Oryzias latipes: one gene and its partner. The protein of the gene in region 2 interacts with the protein of the main gene of each other region in a pairwise test. Links are inferred from orthologs where the notes say so. Each region holds a gene or a part of one and is shown on either strand. Other genes may lie near its edges.

The links. The genes of interacting proteins can lie anywhere in the genome.
Region 1: the proteins of AP-3 complex subunit mu-1 (region 2) and sipa1l2 interact in binary tests that used the Homo sapiens proteins (3 or more experiments, as listed by UniProt). The two-hybrid records come from large-scale screens. The link is inferred for Oryzias latipes from reciprocal best matches to the Homo sapiens genes AP3M1 and SIPA1L2.

The regions. Positions count from the first base shown.
Region 1 is NC_019873.2:28,571,434-28,575,088, reverse strand, and holds part of sipa1l2 (signal-induced proliferation-associated 1-like protein 2), read left to right. Parts: intron 1-1,796; 5' UTR 1,797-2,055; coding exon 2,056-3,562; intron 3,563-3,655.
Region 2 is NC_019873.2:23,929,147-23,932,901, reverse strand, and holds the start of AP-3 complex subunit mu-1, read left to right. Parts: upstream 1-1,080; 5' UTR 1,081-1,271; intron 1,272-1,483; 5' UTR 1,484-1,488; coding exon 1,489-1,761; intron 1,762-2,857; coding exon 2,858-3,029; intron 3,030-3,123; coding exon 3,124-3,261; intron 3,262-3,348; coding exon 3,349-3,434; intron 3,435-3,526; coding exon 3,527-3,660; intron 3,661-3,755. UniProt on the Homo sapiens protein: Part of the AP-3 complex, an adaptor-related complex which is not clathrin-associated. The complex is associated with the Golgi region as well as more peripheral structures.

The DNA of each region.
Region 1 (3,655 bases), about 4.6 Mb from region 2:
AAGCGTAAACAGGATCGGTCCCAAGACTGAGCCCTGTGGGACTCCATAGTTGACTCGAGTGCACTGAGAGGAATGGCCATTTACATTAACGAACTGATACCTATCAGACAGATAGGATTTAAACCACTGGAGAGCAGATCCTCTGATCCCTATGTCCTGCTCTAATCTATGGAGTAAAATACCGTGGTCGATAGTGTCAAAGGCAGCACTGAGGTCCAACAGGACCAGAATAGAAAGTAGTCCCTTTTCTGAGGCCAATAACAAGTCATTAGAGACTCTAACTAGTGCAGTTTCCGTACTGTGGTGAGGTCTAAACCCCGACTGAAAGTCTTCAAAGTGGCTGTTGTCCTGTAGGTGGCAGTAAAGCTGCTTAACTACAACTCTTTCTAGGATTTTAGAAATAAATAAAGGGCAGTAAAGTGTTTCCGACTCGTCTCTAGTGTATTTGGTGCAGTCTGGCTTGAAGCTCATTTAGAAGTGGCCCACATTTCTGTCCAAAAATAGTTTATCCCCCCCACTCAGATTACACAAAGAAATGTAAACAGTCGTCTGGGAGCTGAAGCTGTCATAAAAGGTCTGTTGATGTAGCAGAAACAACGACTGAAACAACTAGGCTCCATTCATCTGTCTACCTTGTTTGCAACCAAACGTTAAGGGCTGCTTTGGTGGAGCTTATTATCCTCACAGAAGGAAATGCTGCTATCGTCTCTGTGATGCGTAGTGACTACTGGGTGACTCTTCCGGTTTTTTAGGATGAGGAGATGAGGACACATTTAGCTACGTAGAACAAGAAAAAAGCATTAAGGTCATTTTCAAAGACTCCCAAGTCTTCCATTCTTATGCGGCGCTACTGTCCGTGGTTGTCCATGTAGACCTGTGTTTGAGCTCCTGAAGTAAATGTAATGCCCTACTCCCAGTCCCTTTGGACCATAAATCATACCTTTATAGCAAAGGATGAAGTCGATTTAAAGAAACATTTCGTTTTCCTGGAAATTGTTCATTTCCTTTAGACTTTATCCTCACATATAACTCACTTGTCTGGTAAAACTGTCCTCCTTTTAGATGGTCAAGAAGCTCAAATAACTGGTCTTATATTAAAAAGGTATTGTCCCAGAAGATGACCATATGCTACGTCTCATCCAGCATCCTTAAAAGACCTTAAGGCTGATTCTCAAGGACGAGCAAACGGATGTTTTAGCATACCTGTTTTCTCTGTCCTTGAAAGTTCAGGTTATTAAGAAAAATGGTCATTTAACGTCAATATTGTCTTTGCTCTTTATCATAAGTGTGGTGTAATAGACTTGTTTTTTCTAAACCTTCCTGTACCCACCTATTTGGACTGATCATCCTGCACTGTAGAAAGGTTTTCACAGTGCAGAACTGTTCCGTCATGTGATTTGCAAGCTTTGTGATGCTAGACCAGATATTGGTTCATGCAAGCATTTAACTGAACATCTGCTTTCCTGTTACTGTCATTTGCTTCGCCGCCATCTGTTCCACATTGGTGCAAGCCATACACATCTAGAGTGTTATAAACCCATAACGGAACACGCTAATTAGCAGTGTTTGCAAAAATGCTGTTCCAAGAAGAGAGCATCCAAAATCTTCCTACTGGGAAACTTTTTAGCAGAAAACGGGGCACTTATATTTCTTTTTCTCTCTCTTTTGCATTAGAATAGAATGTGTCATGGTTGTAAAAAACAGCTCCTTTTACTTTTAAAGTCAAAATTTTTGCTACAGTGTTCACCCGCTGTGTGCTAAACATTGCCTTCTTTGTGTTTGTTTCTCTCCTGCAGATCTAACTCCTCCAGCTGTCAGTCTGCATTGGTTCCACGCTGCGAAGAAAGTCTCTGCTCAGTGCGCTTCAAACACGTTTTCTTGACACCCAAATGTTGTGTATCAACTGCCATGCCATGCGCTCTCAAAGACTTATGACGACGGCTGCTTCTTTAACTCAGGAAAGGGGCTTCTCTGCTGTTTGCCAGTGAGCAAACCACATGACACGATGAGGACCAGCCCAGAAAATCTGCCCCTCAAGGAAGCTGCCGGCAGGATATGAGTATTTTAAGCCCTGTGACAGATAACAAGTCCAACCTTGTGGGAATAGTGGGAGGCCCAGAAGAATACACCAGAGCTATGCAGTCAGAGGAGCTATTCAGCAGGAAACTTAAAGCCTTGAATGGAAGTATGGGACCACCAGCCTCCAGCATGCAGGTGAAACCTGACTGTGTCGGCAAAACAAACGGTACTCCTGCCATGCCTAAAATGGGGGTTAGGGCCAGGGTGACAGAGTGGCCACCGAGAAAAGACGGATGGGATGGACGGCCTTCTCCAAACTACCAGAGTGTGATATCCGTTTTCCAGAATGGACAGCAGGAACATACTGTGGAATTACTGGAGCAAGGAGAAGATGTTTGTGTAGATATGGATTACAATGACAAATACACACTGAGCGACCTTCTCACCAACTCCCCATTGAAGGGCCTTCACCCCATTCGCCAACGCAGCAATAGCGATGTCACCATAAGTGACATCGACTCTGAGGACATCATGGACCAGAACGCTGTTAACCCAAACACTGGAGCTTCACTGCATCGTGAATACGGCAGCACGTCTTCTATAGACCGCCAGGGTCTCGGTGGAGAAGGCTTCTTCACGATGCTCAGAGGCTACAGAGTGGATAACCTGGACCATCGTAGCATACCGCCTCTGGGTTTTCCAGAGTTGCTGCGCTGTGATGCTTCCCTGTCCCCAAGCTTGCAGACAGCAGCACAAATTGCCAGGGGAGAGATCATCCACATTCCAGGCTATGATTACATAGACAGTTCTCTCCTATACAGCCGCGAGCGCGAGAAATCATTTATTAGGCGACTCAAATCAGAGTCAGCTGAGCCGTCTCTTTTTAGAAAATTACGGACAATAAAAAGTGAGAGCGATGCCTTGAGACTCTCCCTAGAGGACGACCGTCGGCCGCTAAGCTTCCAAAAATGCTTTGCCCACTACGACGTCCAGAGCGTCCTTTTTAACATCAGTGAAGCCGTGGCGAACAGATTCAACCTGAGTCAGAGGAAGAACACCACCACTGGAGCTTCAGCCGCCTCCGCCGGGGTGGGGGCAGAGCCCGGCCTGGTGTTAGGAGGTGGGGTTGGACCTGGAGCGGGGGCAGACAGTGCAGCGCTTGGATGTGGCGGTGGAAATCCCATGTTTGAGTCTCCACTCGGCAGCAGGGAGGATTTAAACCCCAAAGAGAACCTGGATGTGGATGAGGGAGATGGAAAGAGTAATAGCTTAGTACTCGGCTGCCCGCACTTTCGCAATGAGATTGGTGGTGAGGGAGAAAGGAAGATCTCCCTCTCCAGAGCCAACAGCGCCAACTACAGCGGGATATCGGAGAGCTGCTCTTTTGAGTCCTCTCTAAGTTCCCACTGTACCAACGCTGGAGTCTCTGTTCTGGAGGTGCCCCGAGAGAACCAGCCAATCCACAGGGAGAAGGTCAAACGCTACATTATCGAGCACATTGATCTTGGGGCTTACTACTACAGGAAATACTTCTATGGGAGAGGTGAGCATTGGTGAAGATGCATTCTTTCCAGGTTTTACACATTCCCAGCATTTATCTGAGTGTCTGTTCCATTGACTGTATCAGAGATCTGGA
Region 2 (3,755 bases):
CTATTTAATCTATAAAGCTGAGACAGATGATAGGTTTTAACTGCTGTTCTGTAGGTACTGGGTGTATATAATGTCTGATTTGAGCAATTAATTCAAAGGAATTTTGAGGTTTAAAGCCAAATGTAGTTTAATGAATGTAATATTTTGTTAATAAAATCAGGAAATGTAACCAATAAAATTGTGAAGTAACTTTTCATAATCAGTAAAACCATACAGGATCTGTTTTTCCATGTCAGGAAGAAATCGAGAAAAAATTGAGTCATTATATCATACTGACAATTACTTCCAAACTAATTTTTTGTGATCATAGGTCGAAATTAAATATATGAATGTTTCTTCACATTGTTTACAAAATCTACCCCCCCCCCATATTAATCCTTTTGTCTTTGCAATTATCTTTCGAAAATGCAGTCGTATCAAGGAAGTTTGTTGTTTTCCCTGGGTAGTGACTTGTAGGTAAGTTGTTGCTGCCATAGACAGTATGGTTCCTGCCCAACTCAGTTTAACGAGGAGCTGTAGTAGTTATAGGTGCTACTTTTTCTAATCATATACATACAATAAAATGGTGAATAAAACTTCGGAAACTTCCAAATACTGTCATTAATTGTGTTATACCATGGGGAAATGCGTACGTTTCACAACAGTACACGTTAAAATGCCATCAAAATACAAAAAATCATATTGAGTTTTCCAAATAGTTTTTCTTTAAAAATTTGTAATATTCTAACAAAACCTTTCCACACAATAATGCTGACATACAACAATGGATTAGCTATTTTAAAGAACACCGAAAACTGAATGGTCTGATGCGCGGCTTAGATCGTTGTCAAAGGTTGCCTGCAAAACTATACACCGGTTTTTTTAACCCACTGACTGACAACAATGAGAGCAAAACAGCTGTCCTCTGATTTTGCCTGATTAAAAATAAACCCACTAACTTTAAATAAAAAAATGGAGGGGAAGAATATTACACTTTATTAGATTATCGTGAATGCCACTTCAATAGCGTAAATATACCCGTTTTTCAACTATTAGTCTAGTAGCACAATTCAGTTCTTTCTGCTTACGTGTGCACATAGCTGTAGGCGTCCCCTGAGATGCCTATGAGATATACTTCCATATTGGCACCAACTGAGTATTCTTCCCTGTAGTTGAATCGAGTTTTTTCTTTTTTTAAAGCAAGTGATCTACAGCTAAAACTTTGTAAAAGCTGTAAAAATATTTCGCACTTTACATGTTGGTCTTCCTCTGACAGGATTAACGATAAGTTGGTAAGTATGATTCATATTTTTCTTTCTGTTATCTCACTCAGCACAATAAACTTTTAACTTTTCAGATAATATTTCAAAAGTCTTTTCATTTTTTTTATTTTTTACAAACTGTTTAGTTTAAGTTATTTGAATCATGTGACCGACATTGTGTAGTTATCGTGTGCCATCTGGTCTAAGAGAACCAACTCAAACAACAACGTTTCCTTCTGCAGCTGAGATGATCGACAGTCTGTTCCTGATTAACCACTCAGGAGACATTTTCCTGGAGAAACACTGGAAGAGTGTTATCAGCCGGAGTGTTTGTGATTACTTTTTCGAAGCTAAGGAAAAAGCAGTAGACCCAGAAAATGTGGCCCCTGTCCTGCAGACCCCACACCACTATCTCATCAGTATATACAGGGACAAGATCTTCTTCCTGTCTGCCATCCAGACTGAAGTGCCTCCACTTTTTGTCATCGAGTTCCTGCACAGAGTTGGAGATACATTCTTGGTAGTATTGATTTCTTACCTGAATGTCTTCTTTGTGATAAGTGTGTGCCAGATCTTAAGTGCTTCTAGTCAAGCTCTAGGAATAAGTTTCCTTCTTGCTGCACTTTCATGTAAGTATATAATATATATTAAAGATATAACTAAAAAGTCCTTTATAAGACATTCTTTGAGGCATTAGTTTGGCCAAATATAAGAATTTCAGCAGCAACCTTAACCTTGACTGCAGTTAGTATTTTGTGCTGACTTAAACCAGGGATCGTCTTTGGAATTATCATTTAAACCAATAAAAAAGTATTTTTATTTCAGACTCGAAGTGTAAATGTCAACACCATTAAAAAGAAACACAAGACATACAAAATAATTAAAATACAAGTGAATACACCAATTATAAACCTAATAAAGTGGCCAAACCAGTACCTCCAAATTGGGGACTGGTAATGCAAAGTGCTGTGCCTGATGTTGGTTAGGGTTAAAATGATTTTATTCTTGGAAGCGTTAAAGACGTTGTATAAAACCATAAATAAGATTACTTAAAAGAGCTTGGAGAGTGTTGACTCATATATCATACGTCTTTTTAATAAAATCCCATTATATACCCCATGCAGGCTAAATGGCTATGGAAGGATTTGTTAATACACGATAAAGATATTTTACTTTGTGACTTATGTTTTATTTTGTCTAAACTAAACTGTGTTTATGACGGAAATTGTCATGGGGCACTGTAAGAAATGTTGCTGAATGGGTTTCATGTTAAAAAAAGGAAGAATTGTCAGATTTCAGTTAATAGTAAATGTACCATGTGTACATGCAGGTATGGTGACAAAGCAGAAAAGGAAAAACACAAAAAATATCTTTGAAAATATTAAATTGATAGTTTTGTGTGCTTTAATGCAAATTAAAGGGATTTTATTAAATCTGCGATCCAAAGTAATATCAAAAGGCTCTTCAAGTGCTTAGAAGTACAGCACTCTCAATTGTGCTACACTCTTTCTAATAGAACACAGAACTTACGTTATTGCCCATATTGGTCTGCTGACGCTGCTCAAAGGGACAGCCACTGTTGTCCTTTCAGTAACATTTTTTTTTTTTTTTTGCAGGATTACTTTGGAGAATGTTCAGAAACTGTAATCAAGGATAATGTAGTGATTGTTTACGAGCTATTGGAGGAGATGCTCGACAACGGATTTCCGCTCGCCACCGAGTCCAATGTCCTCAAGGAGATGATAAAGCCTCCCAACATTCTGCGGTCAGTCGTCAATACACTAACAGGTAAACAAACGTCACAAGGAACATTGTGAACTTCTGGCTCTTTAAGTCACACTGAAGGGCAGCGTTAACATTACATTTCATTTGTTTTTTCCAGGAGGTAGCAATGTTGGAAACACTTTGCCAACAGGTCAGCTGTCTAATGTTCCATGGAGAAGGGCTGGTGTCAAGTACACAAACAATGAGGCATATTTTGATGTGATCGAAGAAATTGATGCAATTCTCGATAAATCAGGTACTTGAAAAGAAGAGAAGAATAAAGCAGTTGGTGGGAAATGCAGTTAAATGCACAGTAATACCGGTGACTTTGTTTACTGAACAGGGACAACAGTATTTGCAGAGATCCAGGGGGTCATTGAAGCTTGTGTGAGGCTTACCGGGATGCCGGATCTCACTTTGTCCTTCATGGTGGGCTCATTTCCCCCCATATCTGTATTTAGATCATCTGTGCACTTTTGTTCAAGTCTAAATTTTGCTCATTATTGATGTATTATTGACAGAATCCTCGTCTCCTGGATGATGTGAGCTTTCATCCCTGCGTGAGGTTCAAACGCTGGGAGTCGGAACGGGTTTTGTCTTTCATCCCTCCAGATGGAAACTTCACTCTCATGTCATATCAAGTCAGCTCTCAGAAGTAAGTGATTCATGGGGAGAGCAATGGGGTGACTAGGGCTGGCTATGGATTATGAGGAGGACTGCATATATGAAGATGTCATCCTATCCTCAGGT